Linked DNA regions of Lepisosteus oculatus. The protein of the gene in region 2 interacts with the protein of the main gene of each other region in a pairwise test. Links are inferred from orthologs where the notes say so. Each region holds a gene or a part of one and is shown on either strand. Other genes may lie near its edges.

Region 1 (7,317 bases), on a different chromosome or scaffold from region 2:
CAGTCCCCGTAGATCTCCTCTGAAACACAGCACAGGTCACAAAGAGAGGACCAGACACGCCCAGCCTCGGCACGCATTTGACTGTGATATATTGCAGCAAAAAGGAATTTACTCCTCCTGCTAGAAACTGAAAGGGCACGTTCCGGGAGTTCCTGAGCTTTGTTGTATGGCTCAGAATATCGCTGCAGATTAACTCTACTACAGATACAGCTGTGGTCAAAATATCCAGAATTTACTAAAGTGGATTTGCGCCAAGCCAAAAAAAAACAAAGCATCTCCTGATCTCTCCCTGACTCTGTGACACCAGCTCATATCAAACAAGCCTTTGTGAGGATTGCAATTGATTGATACTGCTATTACACACACAGGTGAAGCAGTTTACTATCCTTGTGGACTACATACAGTATATAAAATTACTCAGGAAGGTAGCTGCATCAGCCTGCATAGGCTGCAGAGGAACAAGTAATAGGTTTATTCCATGCTGAAAAAAGAAGAAAGAAAACACAACATTTCGGCCGTGGAGCCTTCTTCAGTTGTGAGGTGTTAAATTAATCAGGCCTTGATGATGAATATTTGGCGCCCTCTGGTGGGGGGGAGGGGCAACATGCAAGGACCACTGACGCTGGAATACACCCTGCAGGCCAGACCTCAGCACCGGCCCCGCGGAGACAGGCTGTACCTTCAGGAGGACACTTCCACTTGTCGAGAGCCAGCATGGCTCTCGCTGGGATGAGGAAGGCGAAGGCGCTGGCCTGAAAGAGTGGGAGCCTGTGAAGAGAAGGGGACTCGAGAGAGTTCATCAGCAAACATAGACACGGACACAGAGCACCACAGAGCCATGACACCAGTTCCCTGAAGAACTGGACTGCTCAACGTGGAAAGCAGGCGCGTCCCTCTGTCCGCCTACCTGACCCCGAAGGTGGTCTGGATGAGGGTGGTGATTCCCACGCAGGTGAAGATGGTCCCGACCAGCTGGCTGACCGTGTACTGGTCCTTCCCCACGCACAGGGACTCGGCCAGCAGGAAGGGCACGGCGATCGTGCCGCTGAAGCACGTCAGGTAGTGCTGTGAAGATCAGCGCAGGGTCAGAGACGCAGCCAAGCCAGAGCAAGACAGGCATCCAGCCCATTTATTTACCTCCTGTCTGGGACAGTCAGGTGCTGTTTGCTTGGCCTCAGAGAAAGGTAAAGAAAGCTGTGCTCTGGAGTCTAAAGCTGTGAAAGGAGAGTTCTGATAGTTCTGGACAGGGGTGGTGAAGATCCCTGGTGCTTTTACAGTTCCAGGGATCTCTGGAGATCTGCAATCAGTCTGTCTATAGAATGACTGTCCTGTGTATTTATTACTCTGTACTTCCCCTTGTATGCGTTTGCTGTACTGTCATAATGTGTTATTATCATTTACTGCTTTCTCATGTGCTGTGCACATTGTGTGAAAGTGTCGTCTATCCAGAGAGGAAAGTGTGAATCGAAGTCCCAAATCACATGTCCGTATGGCAAATAAACTCCTCTCTCTCGCTGTCTGTCTAATCGCCTGCCTGTGAGACTAGTCTGTCTGTCCCTCCACCCATCCAGGCAGACGGTGTGTTCCACCTGCAGTCCCAGGAAGATGCAGAGGTACCAGGGGGGCACGTCCTCGATCCTGTAGATCATGTCAAAGCCCTGGCCCGCCCGAGGCTGCTGGTGCTTCTCGTTCTGCACAGGCACGTCTCCCTGGAGAGGAATGGCACACCGGCGTGAGAGGGCACTGCTTCCCTTCAGTCACCGCTTGAATTAGCTGCACCAGAGACCAGAGATGTAGGGCAGCCTGGCGGCAAGGTGCAGCCACAGGTGAGATCACTGGAAAGTGTCGAGTGTCTATAATCTCAGACGTTCCCTACTCTGCGTCAACATCCGGGAATCTGTTCTGGGTGGATTGCAAGGTCATGCCGTACAGTCTTCACACATGTGTGATTAATCACTAATAACTCATCGGATTTCCTTCCATTTCCACAGCTCTTTCCATCCCCACAGGCTCTCTGAGCACTTGCACGACACCCGGACTGTCTTGGGAGGACCAGATAAAGGGATCTGGAGCAACGTGTGTCCAGGCAGGCCAGAGAAGGCCAAGAGAGGAGTCGTGCTCACTCAGCCTCTCCCATCAGGGCAGAGGGAGGAGAGAAGCAGGGGCTGATAGCCAAGGCAGGGACCAGCACCTGGGGCCAGACGGCCCCAGCAAGAGTGATCAGAGGAGGAGACTTGCAGTAAAAACAGCTACATGTGTAACTCTGCCCTGATAAGAGCTCCACGTGAGAGGGACTCAGCACAGCTCCAGCCTGGTGATCCTGATGCTTTTAGGCCAGGAGGTCTGCCAGCTATTGAGCAATGGGTTGGGAGCAGCTTAATTAAACAGTCAATCCACTCCCTACCACTTTAAACAGCCCTTCTTTCAAAGTCTCTTTGTGTGAACCCTCATCTTCAACTGAATGTTTCATTGTGATATCAGATGTGATGGAAGCTATGCTCCAATAAATACACCTATACAAAACATTAGTTAGAATCTCATATGTTGTTTGTACCATGCTCTATTATTTTTACAGTTCAATGTATCAGCCTAAAATAAAGAAACACCCTTTAAGGCAGGAAGGTATTATATAAAAGAGGTTTTATATAAATTTTGGTCCCACTAACCTAAAAAAATGCTGTTAGCAAATGTCAAGCAGTCACAGCTGCACGTGCAGACTTTCCTGTCCTGAAACTCATGGTGCTGAGATGTTGCACAAGCTGGAAACTGCACACCCAAGGCAAAACAGAAAGATTCTGCTGCTGGTCGATCAGTTTCCCTGTATTGATTCTCGGCACACGTGGAAAGAGACCCAGGTCGAATCTGCTCCTGCTACGTTCACGGATTGGGCATATCAGTTACCTTGGGATCCTCGTCCGCGCCCCGGTTCTCCATTCTGTCCGCGGCTGGGAAGTGCTGGGAAGGAGAGAGCTGAGGTTACAGCTGTGTGGTGGAAAGTGACACTGAGCAAAGAGAGCATTTCCACTTCAGGAAAGAAAAGACTAAGCCAGTTAATCATCTCCGCGAGCTGAGGGACTTTACCCACATCTCTAATCAGAGGGTGAAACAATAACCTCAATGATGATACCGTGGGTTAAGAAACTGCTTACTGACAGCTCTTTCACGCGAAGGTGTCGGTAAACCCCGGATTCCAGGGCTTCATGGATCCCAGGACAAAGGGAGCCGACCCCCACAGTTCGAAACAGTCCAGAACCTTCCTGCAGCACATCTTCAAGCTGGGCTGGCTCAGGCACCGGCACCATAGTAATAAGGCTGTACCATAGTAAAGGCTCATGTTTCTATACTTAATACAGAAAGTCTGAAGTAGTTTTGGAATACCAAAATAACAAGCTCACCTTCTTTTCCCTCCGCGTCAGATACTTCTGTCCTGGTTCATCTGTTCCACAGTGGAGTTTTCTGGAAACTGCTCCGGCTGCACATGCCGTATGACCAGCTTGATCAGGACTACAGCAGAGGAGAGGCTACTGATCACCAGGATCAGGACTGGCACAGACTCCAGCTATAGACGCCCCTGGGTTTCACTGCTGCTGCTGTGTGCAGCGCTGGCGGAGTTCACAGCAGAGGCACCCTGGCCGAGACGCCAGACCATCACAGGGCAGACACACACACACCAGGGTCACAATCAACTAGCAAGCGCACCCAGGGGAGGGAGAAAACCAGAACACCCTGATACCACCCGTGCAGATGCAGGGACAACATGCAAACTCTGCACAGAAGGCAGCCCGGTCTGTAACCTTACCAGGACCCAGGACGGCGTGCAGACTGAGCTGCCCTATAGCTTTGCAGTGCATGAACAGGAATAAAGTTTAATACACATATCAAACACATGGGGGAGCCAAATACCCACCAATGACCAGCTCTTCCACCTCCTCTGGGATACCTGAGGCTTGTGTCTGCTTCGCCCGGCATGGAAGCAGCTCATTGCAAACTTATTTCTTTAGTCTATGTGCATTATACCCTGCGACTATCCAGACTGTGCAGATCACAGCCAGTCATTTTACAACAACCCTCTCAACCAGGGGACTCCCACACCTGCTGGCGCTTGGTCCACCTGAGCGCTCAACTCGAGAATCTCACCAGGTTTCAGGTAGGTTCTGTGTTTTCAGTTCCTAAACACCGAAGGAGGTTAAGTAACTAAGTGATCTACACACGATGTATTTTCATGACATTCCTACAGTATAGGTACTGTAGATAATTCACACATTCATAACATCAATGCTTGATTTGTGCACCTTTTTACTCTGTGGGCTCCCCAACACTCTTCTCAGTAAGATGCAATAATGTGCAAAACTCTGTAACATCTTACTCCTACTCTTAAATCTCTTCACTTGCTGCCTTTAAAGTCACATGTTCAATACAAGATTATGTAGCCGACTTTCAAGCCTCTGAACAATCTGGCTCCATCACACACCTCGGAGCCCCTCCATGTTCACGCTCCCTCCTGTCGGCTCTGCTCACTGTACGCAGGACTAACTCTCAGACTCCTGGCGACTGTGCCCTCTCTGTCGTACTTCCAGCGTTTTGAAATGCTCTTTCTCCAACTCTATGAGAGACAAGTTATTTCACCCTCCCAGAACCCAAACTTAAAACTCACTTTTTTTTATGAGGGCTTGTGTTTGATTGACTGAGGCCCTACTTTTTTTCTGTTTTCTTGTGTAATGTTTTTCATTTACCTTTGATTGTATTTTTGTCTTTTACTTTATCACCATGTATAGCATCCCCGTGTTGAGAAAGTTGCTTTATTATTTTTATATACCTACACCTATGGATATTCAGAAGCACATAAAGAAGCGAGGACTGCTTGTGGTACAAATCCTAAAATAAAGTAACATCTCTGTGGGAGCAGACTACCTGAAATACACACAGCGGCGTTCTGACAGGATCTGAGCAGGTTACAACAGCAGTGGTCCTCCTAGTTACCAGGCCAGAGTAATACTGTCTGCTCCACACTGCTGTGGATACTTCCTTTCTAAATATTTGCCCAGAAATACGGCGAGTCTGGGTGTGAATGGGAAAGCTGTCAGTCAGTTTTGGGTGCAGATCGCACAAATGAAAGAATTCCACTGTGACAGGTCTGAGAATCTGACAACAGACATCGAAACTGTGTGGGCTTGTGTGATATGGGAAGAAAACTACTTTCCTGCTGAATATCAAACTTGGAAGCTTCATCTGGGTCCACCAGATGTAACTCTTAAACTCTTACAGGCTCTAAAGCTTCACAGGAAGAACCGTCTCTGGGTCTTGGGCAGTGCAGTTAAGTTAGTTAACAGTCCAGTCATTCGAAATACAGGACACAGCAGATTTCCAGACAGTGAGGTCTCAGTCCCACACAGTAAACATCAGGAAGTGACACAAATTCCATTCTCTAGGTCAGCACATTCTTAACAGAAACCCAAATATATTAGTAAACGTTAGTTAGTTAGTAGGACTCCTGGCCGAATGGACACTGCCACCATGCAGGAGAGGAAGCTCAGATGCCCCAGCACACAGAGCAATATATGGGTGAAACAATGCATGCCCTCTGTCACATTTCCTTTTGAGAAAGGCCAATAATTTTCTATATAAATTGTTTGCACTGATCCTCCCTTTTTGTGTTTTTCTGTTGTACTGCAGTGTCCCCTTAATTTTGACCACTAAACCGAGTTTTGACACCAATACATAACTGTTGCATTATTAATGCACCTCAGCGTCTATTCCAAGTGTCTCCTCCTCTGGAATAAGACTTGCATGTTACAGCAAAATTCGGTCTCCCATAACCTCCAAACGCCTCTCCTTATCAACGTCAATCTTTCTTTAGTTAAAAGGGCACAGAGAATGTTACAGAAAAAGGCAACTACTAGAGGGAAAGAGACATGCTTACACAGGAGAGAGGAACCTCCCCATGTACGTTGTCCCCTCAAGACATCACGAGGACAACAAACAACACTACTGTCCTCCAGGAGGTACACCGGACATTTGGTGTGCAGTGACTAACTCGCCCAAATATCACTTCCCCCCACCTCCGCCAGTCCTCTGTGCTACTCGTCCTACTGGACTCACAACCGCACACACATACAGGTCTGCATGCAGGAAAAAGCATCACTGCATCACTGACCAGGCAAACCGTTCTCTATTCAGCCAGACTCAGCTGACACCATCAAAACTCATAATGAGGTTGCGATGGTGTGGAATTTTCTTTCTGTGCACCACTTACACTGCCATCAGGATTATCAGCCCCCATTACCTGTCCAATTATGGCTTTTGTGCTCCAGCAGCAGCTGCGATGGACTGGCGTCCTGTCCAGGGTATATCCTGCCTCGCGCCCGTACTTTGCCAGGTTAGGCTCCGGCTCTCCCAGAGGCCTCGTATCGGATGAGTGGATTGGAAAGTGGATGGAGGGATGTACCAGTGACCCACGCCTTTAAATTCCATGCTAAACTGGAATGCAGAAGAATCGAAGCAGGGCTGTCCTCGGGTCCAGCATCTTCCAGACCAGGTTCTTGATCACATGGCACAACTGGGCAGGACTAGTGATGTGGACTGTACAAGCCCTGGCTGGCAGAGGTGCTACAAATGGGTTTCTTCAAGGTATTTTGTATCAAGTTGGTTGTGGATTTAACTATGATTTAAGTTTAAGCTTCCAATAGCAGTTTAGGGTTTCAGTAAAGAGCTGCACACTGGATAACACCTCATGATTTAAAATTGGAGAGAACACAATTTTAAATCACGATTTTCTCCTCCTCATTAAAGAAGAACCTTGGCACAGTTGACCCCCAATAACTTATTCTCCCTGGGTCACAGAATATAAGCCCAAGGTCTTAAGCACTGTGTGTTCTTGTCATTAAACTACTCTGTCTCCTTGAAATACCGCACAGCTGAGTTCAGCAGCGTCAGAAGCTGAAACGGAAAAAAGGTGTTTTGAAAAAACTTAAATTGCTTGTCCCTTAACATTATTTTGACTACAGCAGGCTTAAAACATATGCCTCTGTTATAATAATAATCATGTCAACCCATTCTGGGTAAACAGAGTAGTGACGCTGACGGGCTGCTCCAGAAGCACTGCAGTGAAACCGAGAGGCCCAGCGTGACCCCACAGCCAGCGCAGGGGTCAGGGGTGTTTCTGGGGTGGCCGTCTGGCGCCGTGCGCGCAGGCGGGTCGCGGCCCGGCAGTACCGAGACAGCACGCTCCTCTGAAGACAAGTGTGAGTCAGGCGCTCGGGCAGCAGAGCGGAGAGCTGCCGCTGGGAAGGGCTGGGAGAGGACGTGTGGAAGCACTTT
Region 2 (7,873 bases):
CTCATTAACTCTGTCCTCTTGGACTTTCTGTCTCAGCTACCAGTGAAACTGCACACCAGCTCCTGCGTTCAACACTGTACAAACACGAGGCCTACAGGCGGATCAATGAAGAGCGAAGCCACAGCTAGCAATCTCCCCACTCCTCAAGAAAGACGTGCCGAAACATTTAAAAGTCACATCCAGTCACAGCTAGAATGCACAATGATTCTGACACTCTCAACTCGCTGGAGGAGCAGTCAAACTCCCTGCGGGCCGTTTAAATCCAAAGGAAACACCGTGAGCGTTCAGCACATACCCTTGACCTTTGGAACCACACACACACGAACACACAAGCAGCGCCACAGACCTCACCCTCTTCACCCAACAAACTCAACACTCCGGACAGCGTGACGGCAGCAGACTTCCGCAAGGCTCTGCAGGGCACAGCCCAGCACACGGCCCACAGGAGGGCTCGTTTCAATGCCCCGTGACAGGGCAGAAAATCGCAGCCTGCCTTCATGCCACCCAGACCGCGCCGGTCTCTGTTGAGACACGCAACACACCCGCCACAAGACTCTTTTATTACGTTGACCAAATCCAATGATCAAAAACAGTAATTAAAGAACTTTATTCACAAAAAGTAAGCTATTCAATTTGTGGTTTCGCCTGCCATGACGTTACATCATTGTTCTTCCAAACAATGATACAAGGAACCAGTGACTAAAGCAGGCCTGGCCCCGTTGCAGACAGGGCACGCACAGAAACCACCGGGGCTCCTGCAGATCGTGGCACTGCGGCTCACAGGCCACACACAGCGCTGGCGAGAGAACTGACGCCCTTCCAACCATCCACAGCACTGGGCAATTCCCATCCAGAGATCCTCAGACCAGTCCGGACGACAACACTGCCTCATGTATTTCACATACCGCAGGTGCTCGGCAGGAGATCCATGTCAGTGGCATTACAAAGAATCAATTCTGAAATAGATGCAGATGCGTGTGAACAGGCCTGGGGCTAAATAACCACCCTGTGTAATTGTTCTTGACGGAAACAGGTTCACACTGAAAACGTGGGCATGAAGTGTGCATCTGTGGCAAGCCCTAATTTGGCCTGTCTGATTACAAGCACTTTAACTGAGTTTAATTACACACCCGAGAGTGTTACAGAGGCATGTCATAGTACCACCTTCAAAGAAAGCTGCCTACCAGCAGAATAGAAGACCAAAAACTATACACTACACTTTGTATAATTACATCTTACTGAGTGTTTTTCGCTGCGTTTTTTTTTTTTTTTGGGGGGGGGGGGGGTATTAAGAACGTGTGAACCTCTTAAATTCTGAAATGTCAGCTGGTAATGCCACACAATTAGGTATGATCCCTACTGAGATTCTTAAAGAACTAATTCAGCCAACGAACTCCTTTCTCGGCACAGCCCGGCCAACACGTTTCAAAACAGTAATGTCAATGTCTCTAGCGGTTATACGCCATATATAGGAAGAGGCCCGCGAATTATTTCCTGTCAAATTCATCTGTCATCTACAGGCAACCAATTTAAGTACGTAAATAAAGAACATGTTTCCCTTTCACTGGGTACTAAGCAGGCAAGGCTAAAGAAACGACTAATCGCGAAACCCACCGCCGGGTGAACTACAGCAATCGATAGAAATGACACTGCGGGCTGACTTCGCGATCTCAACTAATCAATGCGCTTTACCTGTTATCATGATACTACACGACGCATGTACTCTGGCTCACACAAAAGTGCTTATCCTTATTACTGGCAGAACGGTGCCTTCTACTGTGGCTGTTGTAACACTACAAAATAAATAAAACATGTCGAGTTAGGTCCTCGTCTTTGATGTCATTAACAAGAGCAACAGAGATCCAGCCGAGTCGCACAGGACAGACAGACCGCACGCGTTTGTCCGGGACTGCGGGCTCACAACTCCGGCGTCACCGGCTGCAACTACAGCTGCAGCTACATGCGTGAACCCCGTTTTTAATCCAGCCCCCACTCCCGGGGGGAACACGGAGCACAGACGGGTCTCACCTTTTTGACAGGTTTGTGCGAGGTGACGGCGCTGAAGGCGGAGGACAGGTCGCCCATGTCGCTGGTCTTGCCCACGGTCATCGCCGAGTATTTCTCCGCCACATTCTCGCTCTCTTTCACTTCTTTGCTGGCCTGCTTCATCTCCAACTTCCCGTCGCCCGCGGAGTCCGACATTGTACGCTAGTTGGATCTTACTACTGTACTACAGTGAAGAGTAGCGCCAGGTCTGTCTCTGCTGAGGCTCAGATTACTGCCTTCGGAACTGACACCTCTTCTCTGCGGGCAGGAGAGGCGGTCCGGCTCTACTACCGCAAAAGCGCATACGTTCTTGTAATTGTGGAAGGATGTAAATGCACTTGTGTGATTTTTGGTCTTTTTTTTTAATAATTACTGCTGTCGTCACTGCAGCCTTGACTTTGCCTTTCCTCCGACGCGCAGCTACGCAACACCAACCGGCTGCGGGCGGCGCGCGAGGAGGGCTGGAAGAGAGACTCGAGTCGAGTCGCGTCGCGCGGGCGGGGAGTATGGGAGGCGCTGGGGCTGTTAACACCGGTTCACAGAAGCTGGTGCCGGCTAGGAAACTGCGACCGTTGTTTCGCCATTGTGGCTCACACGGCGCCTTAGCAAGACTTCGTGACACTCCAGCGCCAGAGCTGTAATGGCGTCAGTTGCAGAACCATGCAATGCTCCTTGAACTTAAAAATTAAAGCAAAGACGACTGCGGTATGCGAGACATTGCGATTTTACATTGTTTTTTAAAATAAAAAGTGCACCTTCCTACAATGATACTTAAAAGCGTACCTTACTTTGCGTTTATATATGTATAGGAAGGGTACAACAATCCGTTAAACCCATGCAATTCCTTATCAATTTAAAAGCAGCAAGCTAAAGATGGATAGCCTCTGTTTCACAAAAGCAGTACTTCATTGAGCCAGAATTCAACTTTAATAAAGGTGCACACTATTCGTAACGATCAGCTAGGATCATTAAAAACATTATGAGTTTGCAAATGGACAACAGAATCTGTCTGCATTTCTTCAGGATACAAATCTGCACATGAAAGTCAATCGAACGTGTAACTGCTTTATCTTAAGCAGCGTCTACAAAATTAAACGAATGAGACGCGGTGATTGCTTAGTTTTTTTTGTATCATATTTGTATCTGAAAAAAAAAACGCTTTTCCTGTGAAACTGTTTGAAGTGTATGGTTTTGAACATAAGATCATAAAAGTTTTTTTCAGCCTTCAGAAATAGTTTATTTTATTGGTGTCTGCCTGTTCCTTGTATCTACTACATTCCAATCCTTTGTTTTTATTTGTGATAATTTTGTCTCCTTTGTCACTATAAAGCTACTTTTAAAGGCGCTGTATAAAGATGATTTTATCCTCAGTTCCAAAAATGTTTTTTTCCCAACGTGTTTTAACACTAAACTTGGTATATCTGCATTTGACGTATTTTTTTGTCATATTAAGATTGGTAGCCAATTGATTATAAACAATTGTCATGGGAACACAGCGAATTCCGCTGTCAATTTTAACCAACTGGTAATCACAATTTTACAAACCCTTTGGTTTGGGTAGGGATCTGTTTGTGTCATTGTATAAGAAGTCGGTTCTGAGAGAGTGTAAGTGCAGAGCTCCTTCACCACAAACCCAGTATCCCATTTACCGGTATTTTCTCAGCCTCGTTGCGCAGCTGTTCCTGAAATTAAAAACACCGCGGCGCCACTTAGCGAACCGAAACCGAATTATCTGAACCACCGCTAAGCACGCACCTGAGTCAGCGACTTCGGGGCAGGGGCGTAGCCACGGGTGGGCTTGAATGATCCTAGCCCTACCCAATCAGTCCAAAGTAATTTAAGATCCCCCCCCACCCCCTTGTTTGTGTTCCATGATTTGCTTTTTAATGTTACGTGTTTGATTTTTTTTCATCGTATGTGATTTGCTATTGGCTCGCTTTATCTTTTGTGACCAATAAGAAAATTATGTAAATGTAGTGCGGCGGTGCATGTGTAGCCGTAACCTAATTGTCTATCGCTGTCGTCAGACGACCAGACTATCTAGCGCTAGGTTTCTATTTATTAGCCAACATGGCAAAACAAATGCATATATTTAGGTTTTTCAAAAAGCCGCCTGTAGATGACCAGACCAGTCCCGAAACAAATAAAGACACATGAGATGCTACAGGCATCTTGGGTTTTAGGGAGAACAGCCTGGCTTCCCGAATACAAGTGTTTCTGGAACGCAAGAGCACGCGTTTGCTTGTAGCAGCTCGATACATGCTCGACCTGTAGGAGTTAAGCACGGAGAGGTTTTAAAATTTCTCCTGTAAACAAATGATAAGTTTTGGAATGAATGCCTAACATTAAGAAAATATTGACGGATGGATGCGATTGTGCATTTTACAGATAACTATTCGGATCACCTCTAAATGCCCTGCAGTATTTTTACGTGAACGACGTTTACATAGCTAAAATACATATAAAGTATGTATTTGACGCTTTTATTAGCAGACCTTTCTTGCAATTAAAGGTACGATTAATTGGTTAGCACTGTAATGCGACTATAACAATTCGGTGTTAAGTCTTGTGGGAAGTCACGAATATCCAAATTAGCTGTCTTTTGGCATCGAAAATAGAATACTAATGTGGGTTTCATACAAGTTTAAAAGCATCATGAAGGATCAAACAAGATCTTCAGAACTTAATATTTTAATAGCTTCGCAGTTTTTCTTCTCATGGCTCCTCGCTCGATATTACCCTCGGATGCATTTACTCCAACCTCTGAAACGTGTGTGCACGTTCTTCTGGTATGTTATGCTCAAGTCCGCTCAATATTTAAAGACAAGGTAAAAGCTCCGGGAAGTTGCCCCCCCTAGAGACAGCAGAAATGATGAAACCCACCTCATTCGTTAGTGCTACGTTTGTGGCGTTAAAAGTAGCGTTTGTGCTGCTTTTGTTTCCGAGATATAGCACCTTGTTTGTTTGGGGGTCGTGACGTCACTCAGCACCCCTTCAATGTCGTATGGAAACCAAACCGGTCTCATTCGTTAGTGCTACGTTTCCTGCTTTCGTTCCCGACATATAGCGCCTTGGGTTTCCGGTGATCACGTGACCATGCACGGTGACTTTGACCTCCAGTGACCCCGTTTGCCGAGTTCAAGCGCTCTTTTACAGTTTTGCTAGTACCCTTAACATTTTAATAACAATCAATATCCATAAACATATAAGTCTCCTTAGATGTGAATAATACGAAGACATGACGCATGCCAACAAGTAACCATCTATGACATAAACCTGTGGTTGTAATGTACGTAAAATCACCGTGATTGCAAGATCTATGGTTTTTATTTTGTAAGGCACATTTTCCTTTTCTTTTCCTATCGTGACACACTGTTGCCAAACGCGTAACTGTGTTTGATACCATCGCGACAAGACCTCCGCAGCACGTCATGATAGGGACCCCATGTATATCGCATGTATATCGCGGCACGGCAGTGTATATCACGACTGGTGCCTTGCTTCCATGCCACCCTGGCACCGCTGTCGCAACAAAGGTCTCATATCAGGACATGATATACCCAGATAAGATATGTCGCGATATAGACAGGGGGTCAGCAATCCTGTCAGGGTATATCCCATCGCAACATATGGACTCCATGTCGCGACATGGGGGTGGTGCATTTTGTCACGGTATGTCATATCGCGATATATGGGCTTCATGTCACAACATGGGCATGGCAGGTTTTTTAATAATAATGATAATAATAATAATAATTTTTTTACATATCACCATATATGAACTCCATGTCGCGACATGGGGGGGGGTATTTTTGCCGGGGTATGTCATATCGCGATATGCAGGCTTCATGTCGCGACATGAGGGCGTGGCATTTTTGCCGGGGTATGTCATATCGCGATATGCGGGCTTCATGTCGCGACATGAGGGCGGGGCATTTTCGCCGGGGTATGTCATATCGCGATATGCGGGCTTCATGTCGCGACATGGGGGCGGGGCATTTTTGCCAGGGTATGTCATGCAGGCTTCATGTCGTGATATGGCGGCTGCGCATTTTTGCCGGGGTATATCATATCGCGATATGCGGGCTTCATGTCGCGACATGGGGGCGGGGTCGTTTTGTCGCGGTATGTTATATCGCGATATATGGACTTAATGTGGCAACAGTGGCGCCATGACAGTGATACGCCAGTCGCAATGGGTATCGCGATGTCACTCTTATCGTGACCTGCTATCGGAGTCGTGAACGCGCTGCGGATGCCATGACATTCGTTGTCTGCTATTCAGTTTTTACCTCAGTGCGACTTCTCTTGATTGATTAGTAATTGGAAACCAATGGATGTGCTACTGTATATCCAGCGTGCTCATACAGCACACACGATTAACCGGGGCTACAGTATTTTTACCAAGAAGAACATCCATCGCCCATGTCTCTACATGTTCTCGGAACTTCCGCTGTGACTCTTTACCCAATCAGAGTGTCAGAATTCTGACTCTTCATCCAATCGCGGCCCGAGCTGTTCGGGGATTTAGCCAAATACGGGTCTGTTCGAGCTAGCAGCGCCAGGTGGATCGCTTGTTTACTGTCAATGAGAATCTATTTTTAAAATGCTTTACTTATTTACAAAATAACTACATCGGCTTATTTTTTAACTTCTTTATTGATTCACAATGTCACGTACTCTTCTAAATAAATATTTTTTTTTTATTTGCGATATAACTGTCGATGCTGCTTTCTGTAATGAATACATGATATTGGGACAATTTTAATCGTATATTTAAGGTAGGGGGAAACACCTTCTGCTTTGTACTTCAAAAATGAATAGAAATGTAAAGTCTATGATCATTATATCTCGCGACACGTCCTATCTGGGTATATCATGTCCTGATATGAGACCTTTGTTGTGACAGCGGTGCCAGGGTGGCATGGAAGCAAGGCGCCAGCCGTGATATACACTGCCGCGCCGCGATATATATGCGATATATATGGGGTCCCTATCATGACGTGCTGCGGAGGTCTTGTCACGATGGTATCAAACACAGTTACGCGTTTGGCAACAGTGTGTCACGATAGGGAAAGAAAAGGAAAATGTGCCTTACAAAATAAAAACCATAGATCTTGCAATCACGGTGATTTTACGTACATTACAACCACAGGTTTATGTCATAGATGGTTACTTGTTGGCATGCGTCATGTCTTCGTATTATTCACATCTAAGGAGACTTATATGTTTATGGATATTGAATGTTAAGGGTACGAGCTAAACTCTATCAGAGCGCTTGAACTCGGCAGACGGAGTCACTGGAGGTCAAAGTCATCGTGCATGGTCACGCGATCACAGGACGAACAAGGCGCTATACCTCGGGAACGAAAGCAGCACAAACGCTACTTTCAACGGCACAAACCGGCACAAACGTAACACTAACGAATAAGGTGGGTTTAAGCGTTTGTGCCGTCTGTATGGGGGGGGCACCTTCACGAAGCTATTTTAAATACAATATTTCAGGCGGAATTTGAATCTTGCGTTTTGTTGTCCTCATAGTGTTTTGCAGTAAAATATTAACTTCAGAGTAACTCGTAAAACTACTCAACAATCTAAAAGCAGGCACAGGAACCAAGCAACAAGTGAAAATTAGCTCATGCAGCTTTTCTTTAGCTAAAGACAAAGTCCTCATATGAGAGACCTTTGCAAACTAGCTGTCATTTGAACGGGAATTTGCCGACTCTAGAGACAGCGACGAGATTATCGCCATACTCAATTCCAAGCCCTGACGCCTGCGTCTGGTCTAGAAAGTCAAAACCTCACAACAGAAGTAGGCACTGACTGT
Region 3 (7,850 bases), on a different chromosome or scaffold from region 2:
TATTTTCATTTTAATTTTAATAAAGAAAACAGACCAGGAGGACTCTCTGCAGCCCTCTAGAGTCAGTCTCTCTATTACCTGTTACTCAATACCCTCTTGTACGTGAACGAATATCTCCAAGCAATTCTTCCATCTGTTACAGACAGAGGAACAGGAGCGGTAGATCAGAGCTGATCTGTCACACCCTCTGTTCTGGAGTTTTGTAACGCAATCTAATGTAGATTGACTTGTGACTTATAAAGTCCTTGAGATGGAAAGCCCGCCAGTGGGTTTATAACACTGAAAGATCGTGGCAAGACTTGGATTTCAGCCTGTAAGCCATGTTCTTATTGTTCTTAGCCACCATTCTGTCCAGGAATCTCTTGGCTTTCCTGGGAAGACTCTCCCTCCTCTTATTGCGAGCCATCCGCCTCTCGTTGGCCTCCTTACTGTCCCTCCTAAGCCGAACCTGTCGCACGATCCCTTCGAACATCTCTCGGACATTGTGCTGCACTGCCGCCGAAGTCTCGATGAACTTACAGTCGAATACTACTGCGCAGGCTCTGCCCTCTGCAAAAAAATATCCAAGTAAATGTAAGTGTCACCTTCAACAAGAATAAAACAGAACCAAACACTTTCAACTCCTGATATAACTATTAGGTATGAGATGCAGGTTATGATTTATGTACAGCTTTAGGTACAGTAATTATACTGTCTTAATCATTCATTATCAGTTCTCTGCAGCACAGAACCAAATTACCTATTGCTTAGTGTTCTGTTGAATAATTACATTTCAAAGTTATCTTCTTATTTAGCCAGATTTTAATTATTAAAATGTGTATGCAGGCATATGGCACCAGTATGTGACATTTCCATACAGAGAATACATAGAGATTTCAGTTTTTACTCTTATGGGACTCCTAAAGACTATTATTGATCTGTTTTTTTTTTTGCAAAAGCTAGTTTGGGTGCAAATCTCATTTCTCCTCTCCGCCACAAGCGCTCACCGTCGAAAACAAAATAAAACCTCTGCGTTAAGTTTGGGTCTCGTTCTGTCATATTGCTCCATAAATTTATCGTATGACGTTATTTTATCATCTTACGGCATCAGAGGTATTTATTAAAGTTCACAGGGTCTTGCTGTGATTACACGCTCCTTCTAAAAAAACATCAACCCCCTTTAGGGGATTTCAAAATGTTACAGGGAGAGACCTTACCTGCCACTGAGACCTCTCTGCACCGCACAAGGTCGCTCTTGTTGCCCACTAAAATGATGGGGATGTCTTCCATCTGCCTCGCTCTGCGCAGCTGGATTCGCAGCTCAGAAGCTCTCTCGAAGCTGGAGCGGTCGGTAATTGAGTACACGATGAGGTACGCGTCTCCCACCTGCATGCACTGTTCCTGACTCCAGCTGCCCCTGTCCTGCAGAAGCACAGCACAGACGTTCAGAAACAGCAAGACTCCGAGCGATCAGAAAACATGGATTTAATGGTTTGTTTTTAAAGTTTTAAAATGGCCAAAACTGAAGCTTTCGCTTTCGCATACTACTCTTGTAAAAACGATACAAAGGAAAATAACTCATTTATGCATGATAAAATAGACGGTATATAAAATGGGCAAGATGCAAATAACAATGCTTAAAAAAAACACCTGCACATCACACAGTGAAAATAGCATGGGTAGGATATATCGTATTTTATGTTATATGCTATGCTTTATTATCTTACCTGAGTGTCCCAGGTGTCCAATAAAATGATTGTCGCACATTCGCCGTCCACTGTCAGCGTTTGTTCATATGTGTCTTCTATAAATAACAAAAAGACGTTAAAACGGTTTACGTGGGTCCGTGCGTTCAAGTTATACGAATAAAGCTGTAAAATATTTAATCTCCTTCACACACAAAAAATATGTCAAAAATAAAATAATAGGGTGTTGTTCACATATAAGATCGACTGGCTTGTTTAAAACGAACGTGAATAATTTAATAACCCCGCACCCGTTTAAAGATACAAGCCCCATTGCACGGGAAAACAACGCTGATAAAAACAATGACCTCCGCTCAGGTCGCAGTCGCTGTCCATGCTGTCCTGGGCGCCCGTGAAAATGCCGGCGAGCGCCGACTTCCCGACTCCGTCCTCGCCGATGAGCACCACTCTGAACAGGCTGGCGCAGGAGTCGGTGGAGATGACCGAGTCCGAGGAGTCCGACGACCAGCTGCCCCTGCACGACTCGCCGGCGCTGGTGTAGGACTTGGAGCGGCAGACGCCGGATTGAAGCGCCGAGCTCTTGCTGAGGAGATGCTTGCCGTCGGTGGAGATACTCCAGCGGTGCTGCTGGGGCTGCAGACAGCCACTGCTGTGTCTCATGGTTACGTGAAGGGTCATCTTTCTGAAGCACGGGGGGAAAGCAACGGAATTACAAAAATATGGAATAAAAGAGTTTCTTAATGCATTTTTTCCCGTAAAAAAAAAAGATGTAATGTCTTTGAAAAAATAACACTCCACATTGTTGATCACTGAATTTACCTTCTACAGCCATGTCATCTCTTTGCAACTTTAAATCTTAAAAACAAGGAGACGTGCACGCACCCCTCAGAAGCCTTGATTTTTATTAATTAAAAATGTATCAAAATTACTCACTGTTAGAGAATAACAATAAGAATGTCTATAAAACAAAAAATAACCATGATCGCTGCAATAAAAACGTATAATTAAAACTGTGTCTAAGCTGTAAGATTTCCCAAATACAAAGTTCTTTAAGCATCTAAACCCGGTTATTAACTCGAAGATGCAATACAAAATACTGGAACAAAACATGCAGAATAGAATAATAATTGCATTGTAGTTTCCTTTACTTTTTTCCCCCAAAATAAAAACATATCTTACATTATCCAGTTAGGAGCAGCGCAAACTCCAGAACCACTTGATTGTTCGACGGTGTTTCTGCCTGGGTTTCGTGATCTGTGCGCTGGGCTGTAAATCCCAGTAGATTCTCTGCTTCCCACTAATGTGCTTTCAGCTCTTTGGGTTTATATATAGTAGTAGGGGTCAAAGACGAGGGCTTTTCCGTGACGTCATTCTCCCTTCGCTTACCAGCCAGACAACAGTGAAACAAAGACGGAGAGGGTTTCCTCTAGTCTTGTGGATGAACTTGGAATTTCGCCTAGAACATACTGTTGCTGTTACTTGAAAGGGTGGCTACGATACGACAAACGTCTATCGCTCGAAAGCACGACGACATTCCATTATCTATGGAATTTTTTTTTAGATTCACATTCGGATTGGCCCAAATAAATATCCATTCCCAGTGCTTGTCGCTGTAGGCCATACATAAATCCGAGCTAGAATACCACTGACAAAACACTCATTTTCATGCAGAAATAGAAGTAGCTTTAGTGCTAATAAGCTGTAAGACAATCTTATAGAGTTTGTCACATATGTGTCACAGGATGAAGAACAGGACAATATTTCCTAACACTGAGCCATAATATCACATCACCAGATTTATTTACTCAACTCCAGTACCTGGAAACAGGGCAGTTAGGATTTGGAAGTTCAAGGCAAAAGATCCCAGGATAAAGTATGAGATGCAATTTACGACTAAATAACCGCATGTGTTATTGACAGGTTTAGGCAATTATACGGTCCTAACCATTCATCCATCCATCTGTTTCTACCTCTTCAATCCAGAGTCACTAGAAAATGTATTAACTGCTGGACTATTCGTTTCTAACGTGTAATTCCACAGCCCCTAAACTAAAGTGTGACCAAATTAATTATATACTGACTTAACTTCTCTTAAGTTATGCACGCCATGTTAATGTAGCACTCTCGGGGTTAACGTGGGTATGCGCCCTCGCCGCTGCCGCCTCGGGTCAGCCCCCCACCGCTGGGGACTCGAACCCGGGCCGCCGGCATGACTCAACAGGGACCCAGGCAGTTGAGGCAAAGGGAAATCTCCCCTCAGCCCGACAGCTGCGGTCCCTGCTTTTCACAGGGAAGGGTGGTAACGTCACCGCGCTGGTAAGCCGGTCTCGCACGACCTGCAATGTCGGCCGTATGCGTTACACTAACTTAACTACCACCCAGCCATCCATCCTACTTCGGATCGCTTTATCCAAGACAGGGTTGTAGGGGGAGTCAGCGCCTATCCCAGAAGCATCCGGGAAAGCACAAGGCAAACAGTGGTGGTCGTGGGAGATTCTATTCTCCTACAGTGCAGAAACACTGCAAGAGAGATACGTACCTTACATGTACAGGAGCTGGGGACTCTGAAGGAGCAAGGGACTATACCCTGTGATTATCTTCGTCCAACGAGCAGACAGAACGAGCAGGTGCAGACCCAGTGACTGCAGCTCCTGGGGAGGATGTTGAAAAATGTACCTATCAAAGTAAACGTAAGCATTTAGGTTGACACATTGCTTTCCATTAGCCAGTGTGCGGAAGCAATACAAAGGACGTACAGAAGACACATAGGGTATATAGTTCAATCAAGGAATGCCATGTTAAAATGGAACAATTAGCAAGACCTTGTACGAAGATCTTGTACAAGTTTGGCCACCGTGTTTTAAAAAAGCCATTGCTTATGTGGAATCAGTCTGAAGTACAGATCTACAGTATCTTACACTCACAAGCTGAAAGAACTGAATATATTTTGTGTCAAATTTATTTTGTGAGAGAAGTCCATCAGGCTTTATTTCTATTTATACGAACATTTCTTGTATTGTTGGTAGAGACAAATAATAGTTGTATGTAAGGTTTTGTCAATGCATTTTTTTGGTAAAATGTGATCATGTTTATCATATTGGTTTTATTTTTAGTTTGCCTTTTTTAAATATAACTTGGTAAAGGTGTGACTTCAGTTACCCCGAGTCTCTTTTTTCAAACACAAGGATGGCAAGAGAAAAATGTCTTCGTCTTTATCATTTTTAAAAATACACAATGTGCCTGAAATTACATTTTAAAAATGACTAAATGATTTAGAATATATTTCTTTTGATGTATTTTACTTTTGTTGTCCCATAATGACATAATGTTTTAAGATTTTTCATTTAGCCAGTGTGCCAATTACTTAATCACAAATACCTCACTGCAAAGGGGTTGGTCATCTTTGGCTATTTCTGTCTGGAACCATAATCAAGAGATCACTCTAGAGTAAGCTGGTTATATTAAGGTCCTTAAATGTTAATTAAGGTGATTAGTTTGAGATTGAGTTGAATAAGACATGTATTAAAAGACTTTCTAAATAGATGATACATTAAGCTATTTCCACTAGCGGGTAGGTCACTTTGGGTTATGCTGAATCTGGTCCAAAAAACATCTTAACCTGGAGGTCAGTTCATTATTTTGTTAACAGTTGCATGCTGTCAAACGGGGAGAAATGTTTAGATTAAGAACAATGAATTGTGTTTCAACAGTATTCATGACAGTTCTCTTTTAAATTATCTAGTATGTTTTGAAACAACAGATCTAGTGTTTTTTACCTCCATCTTGCTGAAAAGCAGTTTTTGAAATTATTTTTTGGGAATTTGTCAGCTGTCACTGTACATTTTGGGGTTGAAGGTACAAGGATAAACTCTGAAGTGTCTGCATGGCTGAAACTATACTCGTGACAAAACATACAGATGTCATCCAGAAATGGAAGACTTTTCTGAATAATGTGCATTAAAATAAAAACAAATATGAAAGGAAATATGAAAGGAATGAAAGTAAAATTAACAACTCACCACTGGCTACTACATAGACTGACAGATCATCGTTTACGTTGCTTTATTAACATTCATTTAAGCTGCTAGTGTAAGTGGCTTTTCATTGGAAAACATGACCAGCAATGAATTATTGAAAATGGAATATGGGATATCATAGATTAAATGAGAGTAATACCCAGCCGAATCATTTATTGTATCCTAACAAACAGCCACACCCAGGGGAGAGCTCATCGATTGCTGTGGACAAATGAACTGCAATTAACACTTGCCTCTCTTTGAAGCTTCTTAGCGAAAGGTGATACAAGTTAAAAAAGCGAATGCATTTTTCAAACGCTGTCAAGAGAAAATAAAATCCATGCATGCTGTCAGAATGCATTCAGCACCTCGTGTGGCACAAGCTTCAGCCTATTTCCTGGCACTGATAAATCAGATTAAACCGGCGGAGACTTTTAAAATAGGCCATGGCTGGAGGCCACAGCTGAAATAAGAGACAATTCGAATATGAGGAAACCTATAAGCTACCGTAGCACCAAGGTGGAGGTATGGAAAAGGTGCTGTGCTTCAGAAAGGAAATTGTAACCAGTGCTTCCATTAAAAGAAAAAAAAAATACAGGTTTAGTTTAACTACAAAAACCAATGCAAAATTATAAAAAAACACCTTTTTTTCCTAGTGGGGAACAAGACAGTGAAAAAATTCACATAATTTCAAGCTCATCTCAGTTATTCCCCACCTTAAATTTGAATTTTGTGTAGCATGCGAGCCTTAGCCAAGTGTCTGCCCAGCGTGGATCGTATCCCCAGAATCAACACTACAGTCTCTGAATGAAATACACCATGTACTGCATACATACTGTACACTACACCAACTGCTGCCAACCAGCTGTTATGATACTAGATTTTATAATAAATATTTTCCTGTACTTAATCGGTTTTTGAAATTGCAGCCCTAAAACTACTACAGTATGTTCCTGCAGCACAGTGAAAGGAGATCTGTGAAATGACAGGTGATGTCTCAACTCCGCAGACTATCGATTTGCGGTTATCTTATTTCAGTCACTTTTACAGTGGTCTCTCCCCCAGAGAAAATATATCAAGGTTTCCATTAGGCTACCATTCTCCACAATGGACAGTAAATTCAGGTGCAGTCAGAGAAGTTGAAGACCTTGGCAATTAAATAGTATTGTGTCAGTAGGACCGCGATGGGAATCTATGAGTCTTTAAGTAGGTCTAAGGATGGGGGTTGTGTAGGTTTTCTTCCTTACTGTTAAGTGGATTGTTATTGTTAATTGTGGAAATTGAAACTGAAGAATCACTTTTGGCATCTTCGGTACTATTTTATATGCATAAACATGTTATATACTACAACAACCGGGACCTGAACTGTTATAGCGTGTAAGCCCTGTAACATCGTATTTTAACAAAAAAGACAAATGAACCCAAATGTTTATTTGCCATTGAAATATCTGTGAAAAAACATATTTAAATGGTTTTAACAAGTCTCTGGAGAGCCATATTTGAAAGATATTACAGATGGCTGCTTTCTATTAGATAATATTCTATCATATTTTTTACCCGTTAGAGATACAGTAGGCACTCACAGAGGTGACCCATCCTGAGGCTCAGTCTTTTAGACGAATGTGTTAAGCATTTGACACATTTGTTTAGAAGTGGTATTTTAATAGACAGGCCAGCTCTTTTTATGTACCAAAACCAATATCACAATGTGTTGCTAGCGAAAGTCTGAAAGAAGAACTTCAATTGAAAAATCACACTTTTGTTCCACCAATGGTCTCAGTTGTGAGCATTACTGTAGAGCTTTTTCTACGATTTGGATGAGCAATTATTATAGTACCAGTTTATTTCCCTTCAAATGGGAAATAAAGTCTTGCTTCATTACAGTGTTTTTCCCACTACACAACAAACATGACAAACAGACATGCTTTCAGTTAACAAAACAAACAAAACAAAACAAAAATAATTTTCCCCTTCTATGTGAGGACCCGAGCAGTCTGCTAAAGTGGTATTGCAGAACATGAGACACAGAGTAGTTCTAGATATAGAGTAATGCATTTGGCTGGTTTATGTTTTCTGTGTGGCCTTTAAGCCTTATTTTGCTTTCAAGATGGCTTAGCTAGAGACAAAGAGATCTAAATATAATTTTATC
Region 4 (7,039 bases), on a different chromosome or scaffold from region 2:
CGGGTTAAAAAACCTGTCATAGTTCCAAACTGATATCCAATCAAGATAGGAGATAAATGCATTCTGCTTATTCATAGAAATAATTATTGTCTTCTAGTCTATCAAGCGATATTTCACACTACTGACTGTAGTTATGGCCTTTACTTGAAACTAAAATTATTGATAAATATGTATTTTTAAAAATTCAGCTCCCCTCAGAAACCGGGGGTCAGGTTTCCATTCCAGATTGCAGAAATAAGGAGGTTGTACTCTTATTTTTTAAAGTGAATTAATTCTACTTGTTATCGTAATATGGAATAGAAGTTCTCACATTATTAATTATAAAGATATAAATACATATTCAACTTAGGCCAAGCCGTAAAGTATGTGCTGTACAGAACGGGTTATTTTTACTGTAAGGTATCAGTCCGTGGATCGAGGTACTGCACATAAATGAACAATTAGCAAGGCTGCTTATTCTAATCAATATCTCAATGAAGGTCGAACATTATACTTTACATATATATGAGCTACATGATGAGAGATGTAATAATATACTGTAGGTTTGTGTGTATCTGCAGTTAAGGTCAGATGAGTATACTGCCTCCTTTTTTTTTATATGGGCAGTTACCGAGACACTATTTTGCGACGAATTTTCTATAGTTTTACATACACGCCGAGATTCCCAAAGGCTAGCCTTTTAAAACATATTCTTACTAACGTAATCTGTCTTTCTTTTATGAACAACAGACTATGAACACAACGAGACCGTAAAAGAAGCCGAATTAGTAAAAGAATGATATGCGATGATGCAAAATGCGAGTATTTGACGTTAGTGATTTTCGCGGATTTCGAAATGCCCAGGGCTGGAAAACCGGACTCGGATGGAGCAGCTAACCACGAACGAAGAAGAAAACAACGTCCCACGTTAAGTATAACCTCCACTATCTTTTCAGCAGACTGATAATATTGTTTTCTAAAGACAATTAAAAACATCTTAATTGACTTCATCTGGAACAGAGAAAAGGGTATTTATGCCATAAAATAATCATTCATTTTTCAGATACGTCACGAAGCTACCTTTTGCTAAGGGTGTCAAACATCTGTACAACGGTGCATCCTATGGACCGAGTCCCACAGCAAAATTACCGCTTCTTTTTTTAACTAAAATGTGCAATTTTGTCTGAAGAAACGCAATACCAACCTGCAAGGCAGTCCTGCCAAACTCATTCCTTTCATTTACATTTGCCCCCGTTTGTAATAACATTTCAACTTCAGTTAAATCGCCCCTTGCAGATGCACTGGCAAGCCTGTTTGCTTCTGAAGAACCAGCCATTCTTTATGGAAATAAAATATTTGAAAAATATTTTCTTGGGAAAAAAAGTTGGGTGTTATTTGTAACAGTACGCTCTGCTTCTTTTTTATGGTAAACCTATAGTGACGCGAGCCACCAAAAAGGTTGTAGTAAATATTGAACAGTAAAAGAAACTGGGCTTCGGCCAGGGTCCGCCTCCCTTTTTAACACCATCCCACAAACACAATCCACTTCATTTTTACATCAGTTCGAAAAATCGGGATGTCCAGCCATTCCAGAACGAGGAACACAGATCTATATTTTTTCACTGAGCATCGCTCAGAAAACAAATCCATCATTAATGCCCTCGGAGACGCTCGGTCTTGGTCGGGTTTAGGAGAAATCCCTTCGTACCCGGATTTTCTGCCGATGACTCCGCGCACTGTTACTGCTTAAAATAAATTATTATAGACCCTAGACCCCAGATACTTGACATCTCCTGTAGTGGTTTCTTCAGAAAACCCGGCTGCTGGAAAGACTCCTCTTAGCTTATCCGTATTTGAAATCCAGGAATCGCTTTTTCTTCTACGGAGAAAAACACCAAGGTGACAGATAAAAGATTCAAACCTGTCACCACGCGTTTGCAACCGGGATGCGCAGAGGTCGAAAAAAATGCAAAATTAGCTAGTTGGTGTCGAAAGATTTAAAATGTTTTTGTGCCCACCAACGTATTGGTCGGGTTCAGAGATGATTAAAAAAAGTCCCGGCTTCTGAGCAACAGTCATGAAGTGAGCTACATTTAACTCATTTCACAAACCGTTTTCTGTTTGAAAAGCGCGCTTGGCATTTAAGGTAAGTTCCTTGAATCGCCCTCAAAAATGGTATTTGCCTTTCACAAATCCAAATAGGCAAACGCTGTCATACAGGTGCAACCCATATTTCGGTTACTGTATCCCAAAAGCGATCAGTTTAAAAATACAGGTAGTCACATCGCCAGCGGCCGTCCACACAGCATATCCGATCATAAAAGAGCATGGTTTTAGTTAAACCGGTCCTTTTGCAAACAGTAAGTACGTTTCAAAGCCAGTCTTAATGCAATTCTGGACTGAAAACAAAAATGGGGAAAAATAGGTCTGTTTCTGTTTAACGAGTAGCTGTATCCAATGACATCTTAAAGGCTGTGTTTTCAAAGTTTTGTGCAAACTTCCCGCCCATTTTTGTAACTGTAGAAATAAGGGTTGCTCAAATGCGTCCTGCTTTCTTCATTATTGATGAGAGGTTGTTTATTTCGGTTAAAAAAGGCAACACCACGATATCGCGGCAATGCAGTACAGTATCTTCACAAAACAGGTACGGTATTGTATTCCTCCATCTCGGCCCTTCCTTTTCGCTTTTTAAAATTTGATTGTAAAGCCATCTCTCTGTAGTGATTTGTTACAGAAACCTAGTACCTTCCTGCCTTTGTGTCGTATCAAGGACCTCACTCGCATTAACGCTGATCCGCTTGCCATAACCTTAAAAGCATTATTTCAACACTGATAATATTTGCAATAAATTTCTGTTGCTCTCCCCCCTCCCCGACCTCATCGCAGTTCCATTTGCCAACCCCACCTTTTTGCGTAGTTTTTTTTTTTTAACACGAGTGATTTTTTTTTGAAAAAGTGGTTTGTTGCTGTTCATTGACATCACTCATTTTTGAAAAGAGGGAGCTCCTCCGACTCTTCCGCCCACACAGCTAACGAACAGATCAGAGGCGGGGCTGACAGATACAGTCGCTTCTGAAAGAGCAGGGGGAGGCGAGCTGGGACTGGACCGCTCTGTCGTCGCTCCGGCTTCTACGGGAGGGGGCAGGGGCGAGAAACCTAGCTTGCCTTACTCTCTGACCAAAGCCACTGGGACAGGATTTTGAATTAGACGAAAACCGTACCCAAATTCCACCTCTGTAGAGATCAAAAAGTCACATATTTCATTTGCACCTTCAGGTTTTTAGCTTTTCGTTATACACGGACCAAGAAACATCGTATACAGGACTTTTATCAAGAGAGTCATTTACATTCTGATGTTTTGTCCTTTAAACTCTGTATTACCGGTATTTTAAAAGTATCGGTAACCTGAAAATCATAGCCAAGACCCTTGCGAAGTCTGCGTCTTCGACTTGAACGCTTGCGAAACTGTTTTACCATTATGTGTCAGTCTTTTTCCCAGGTCGAATTATCTACCTTGCTAATAACGCAGCTTTCAATTTCTACAAGGCTTATCAACTGGTACGTTTGGCCAATAGCTGTTGGGAACCAAATGGAAAAAAGAACGAAAATAAACGACGCCACAGACCGTGTAAGACTGGAATTATGAAAACGATTCGCATTCATATCTCACTGAAACGATAGTGATTATTTTTAAAATTTCTGTTACTTTGTGGTAATTTGGCATCTCAAGATAAAGATGATAATACATTTACACAGCGAAACATATATACTTGCTATCAGCATTATGCTGGAATCAAGCGTTCGTTTTTCTCCATAGTGACAGTGCTGAGCTATATAATTAACTCGCCACGCTACATCTAATCTCATTTGCTATATGCCTTTTCAAAAAGGTTATACGCAAACGAGCCTTTTTTATTTTATGCACTTTAAATATGAATGGTGTTCTGCTCCCACAGATGTTTAACATTAACCAAACTGAACACGAAAACCCCGTAACAGCGTACAGTGTGTTGGCTGAACGGTGCGCTCCCAAGAAATGCAATTAACGCAATCAGGTCTGCAAGTCCTTCTTGCCCCTGGGCCGCCTCCACCCTTGTATGTCCAACATGCGAGTTTCAAAGGCTACAGCAGACGACAACCAAACAAGACAAGCAAAAACAGCAGTCATGCAGAGCACGTATAGCAGATAAAAACTGGACATTGTGGCAGAGCAGCAGTCTGTCGTGAGCGCCTGCCTGGTGTGTACTCAAGCAGCGCTGCGCCCTCTGTCTCTGAAAATGAATGGAAATATTTTCTTCAGTTTTTATAAATAGCGAGTGCCGCCTTGTGAAACATATGCTGTACTTTCGCACCAAAACGTGTGCTCTGTCGATTGTGATTAGAAATGAAAATGATTGTACTACATAAAGAAGGAGGTCTTGTAGTGAGATTTACACAATGTATCCTCTAATTGAGACAATAACAGTTAACTTGACTGTGTACAGCAAGTTTCTCATGACATGTAGTCAGGGTAAATTAGTGGCACAGTGACGACGTCATGATGACAGATTTCAGAAATTAAACAGTATACTATACATTTAACAATCGGGATCCCAGACAACTGTGTGGGTCATAAGTGAGACAGGGCACTTAGGTCATTCTCCTTATTGGCAAGGAAGGCAGAGACAGGGCACTTAGGTCATTCTCCTTATTGGCAAGGAAGGCGTAGTGGTTAGGGCTCTGGGTTTATAACTGGGTAGCTGTGGATTCAGGTCCAAGGTAGGGCACCTCTGTTAAAATCTTGAGCAAGGCAAGTTACTCAGTAAAATGCACAGTGTAAGCTGGGGTTGAAGAGGTTGATAAGGCCCTCTTGAATGGGAATATAAGCAAGTTCACAAATAAGCAGAGGCTTTTTACAATATGGATGGATATTGTAAACACACACACACACAGAAGTACAAGAAGAAAGCATGAGTTGGGATTGAGCCCTACGAAAATGTGAACAAGGAAAATTACCTTTGTTACAATGTTATGGAGAAGGGAGACATTCTCTCCATGGGGCTCTCTGAACAGCTACATCCTTTTGATGATTTATAGCACAGACATTTATGTTTTACCATGAAAATTTAATATAATCGTTACAAAAGGAGGGAATAATAATGACACCTCATATATAACTTATTTTATCTCAAATAATCATAAAGTTCTTCACATGTAATTAGGGACTGACTTCATCCACCACTGAAGTGCAGCACCCTCAGGGGTGGAATACAGCAGTGGTTCTGTGCCAGCAGTTCACTACACTGCAAGTAGGGAAGAGAAGTGATTACATTTCTTTGCTGATTGAACATAACATTTAAGTACAGGCCAGACTGAATAAGCCAAAATGGAAGATTTCCAGGGAACGGGTATGCCTGGGGATCCTTAATGACTGGTATCTGACAGGACTTTGTTTTCCATTTCATGAAAGCAGATGCTATTTATTTCATGGTGATAAACAATGTATTTTTCGCCAATATAAAATCAAGATGATGATTCATTGAATATGAGTTTCAGTGCTGTTCTTGCATCAACTTCCATAACTCGGCCTCGTAAGAGTTCCTGAAATGTCAGGCGGGCTGCAGTGATTGGCACGGACGCTTGTGATGTGGACAACAGGGATCAACCAGCGCGCAGTCTCCCTGGCACATCAGCTTGACAGCCATCTGGAGTGAGCTGGGCAGGCCACTACACAGGATTTCAATGTGGTATATATCTCGCACAGGAGAACTTTCTTCTCTCAGCAGACTGCCACCTAGTGGTCCACCAACAATCAGCTTTGCTTAACTATTTTGGCCCTGAGAGGAGAAGAGGCTTTCCCAGAACATTTGAATTGTCAGTAGTAAGTTTTCCAAAACAAGGCATGTTTTGCAGTAAATAGCCCTGACTCTGGCCTTGACAGGTGATTGTCTACACACACAATATGTTTATCAGTCAAAAACACACATTCCTTCCTTACATGCTTGAAAAACACCTGTGCATAATTCTACTGTATGACGGTCTTACTCTAAGTACTGTACATGACGAAAACGTCATTAGGAAAAAAATGTCGTTCATTTTGTTTTAACAAACAGTGCAAGGAATGTGGAACATCCGGTGATTGCGGATCTACTGGTTCATAAAGCTCTGAACCTATATTAAACAGCACATTGTTATTATTGGGATCACCTAATTTTGAACTTGTGTAGAGTTTTGCGCTGTTAACTGAGTGCACTTCATATCTGACGTGGCCACATTCCAACTCGGTGGAGAGTACTGTATGAGTGTTTCTCCTCTTTCGAATCCAATAATATTTATTTTCTATATATAACATTTTAACCAATCGCACCTCATGCACAAGTTCACCGTGTAAAGAGAGTCTGATATGGCAGAGATAGTAACTGCCTAATTACTGCGAAACTCAACTTGTTTTTAATTTTTTTTATTTTAATTTAAAAGTGTTAATACCCTCTCTCCCCAAAGAGTGACGTCAAACCTTGTGTGATATAGGCTTTGTGTGCCTTTATTTTTTGTTTCGCAGTATTATTATTCCTCAGCCTTGTAAACAACTGCACCAAGACACTCCAACGAAATTATCACATAACGCGACAATATCCTTGCGTTACAATGTTTTCATATTGGATTTAAAAAGCACACTATCTCTTTAAAAACTTTCCATCAACGCTGCCGAAAAGCATTTTTTCGTTTAGCCGTGCGACGTTTTTTCTTCTGCCGTAAAGCAACTGGAGAGGTGCCTGTGAGCACATAAAAAAGGAAAAGTGTTGGTTCATCAGAGGCTGAAACCCACAAAAAAAAGATCCGGAATACCAACGAAACTGCGGGATAACGCCGCCGTTTTCACCTTCCCTACCTGCGTAGTCCCGTTCCCCGGGTGGGCTCGGGTAGTTTTTGTGTATTTCCGACGGCATTTTTATATGAAACCTTAGCCCCCTCCCCTCTCCCCTCCTGCTTTCACTAGAGAGAGATAGCCAGTCACTGCAATGGCCTCCGATAGCGGTAGCAACATGGACAGAGAGATGATTCTGGCTGACTTTCAGGTGGG

Evidence for each region.
Region 1: the proteins of ahcyl1 (region 2) and slc23a1 interact in binary tests that used the Homo sapiens proteins (3 or more experiments, as listed by UniProt). The two-hybrid records come from large-scale screens. The link is inferred for Lepisosteus oculatus from reciprocal best matches to the Homo sapiens genes AHCYL1 and SLC23A1.
Region 3: the proteins of ahcyl1 (region 2) and gem interact in binary tests that used the Homo sapiens proteins (3 or more experiments, as listed by UniProt). The two-hybrid records come from large-scale screens. The link is inferred for Lepisosteus oculatus from reciprocal best matches to the Homo sapiens genes AHCYL1 and GEM.
Region 4: the proteins of ahcyl1 (region 2) and cdkn2c interact in binary tests that used the Homo sapiens proteins (3 or more experiments, as listed by UniProt). The two-hybrid records come from large-scale screens. The link is inferred for Lepisosteus oculatus from reciprocal best matches to the Homo sapiens genes AHCYL1 and CDKN2C.

What each region holds. Positions count from the first base shown.
Region 1 is NC_090706.1:41,167,794-41,175,110, reverse strand, and holds the start of slc23a1 (solute carrier family 23 member 1), read right to left. Parts: upstream 3,022-7,317; 5' UTR 2,935-3,021; coding exon 2,902-2,934; intron 1,710-2,901; coding exon 1,590-1,709; intron 1,066-1,589; coding exon 908-1,065; intron 769-907; coding exon 680-768; intron 20-679; coding exon 1-19.
Region 2 is NC_090700.1:39,788,056-39,795,928, forward strand, and holds the start of ahcyl1 (S-adenosylhomocysteine hydrolase-like protein 1), read right to left. Parts: upstream 3,001-7,873; 5' UTR 2,203-3,000; coding exon 2,029-2,202; intron 1-2,028. UniProt on the Homo sapiens protein: Multifaceted cellular regulator which coordinates several essential cellular functions including regulation of epithelial HCO3(-) and fluid secretion, mRNA processing and DNA replication.
Region 3 is NC_090705.1:7,493,812-7,501,661, forward strand, and holds the start of gem (GTP-binding protein GEM), read right to left. Parts: upstream 3,002-7,850; 5' UTR 2,865-3,001; intron 2,368-2,864; 5' UTR 2,364-2,367; coding exon 2,033-2,363; intron 1,784-2,032; coding exon 1,707-1,783; intron 1,402-1,706; coding exon 1,197-1,401; intron 550-1,196; coding exon 272-549; 3' UTR 1-271. UniProt on the Homo sapiens protein: Could be a regulatory protein, possibly participating in receptor-mediated signal transduction at the plasma membrane. Has guanine nucleotide-binding activity but undetectable intrinsic GTPase activity.
Region 4 is NC_090704.1:27,412,854-27,419,892, reverse strand, and holds the start of cdkn2c (cyclin-dependent kinase 4 inhibitor C), read right to left. Parts: upstream 3,002-7,039; 5' UTR 1,316-3,001; coding exon 1,184-1,315; intron 1-1,183. Other genes in the region: faf1 (FAS-associated factor 1), read left to right, coding at 6,978-7,034. UniProt on the Homo sapiens protein: Interacts strongly with CDK6, weakly with CDK4. Inhibits cell growth and proliferation with a correlated dependence on endogenous retinoblastoma protein RB.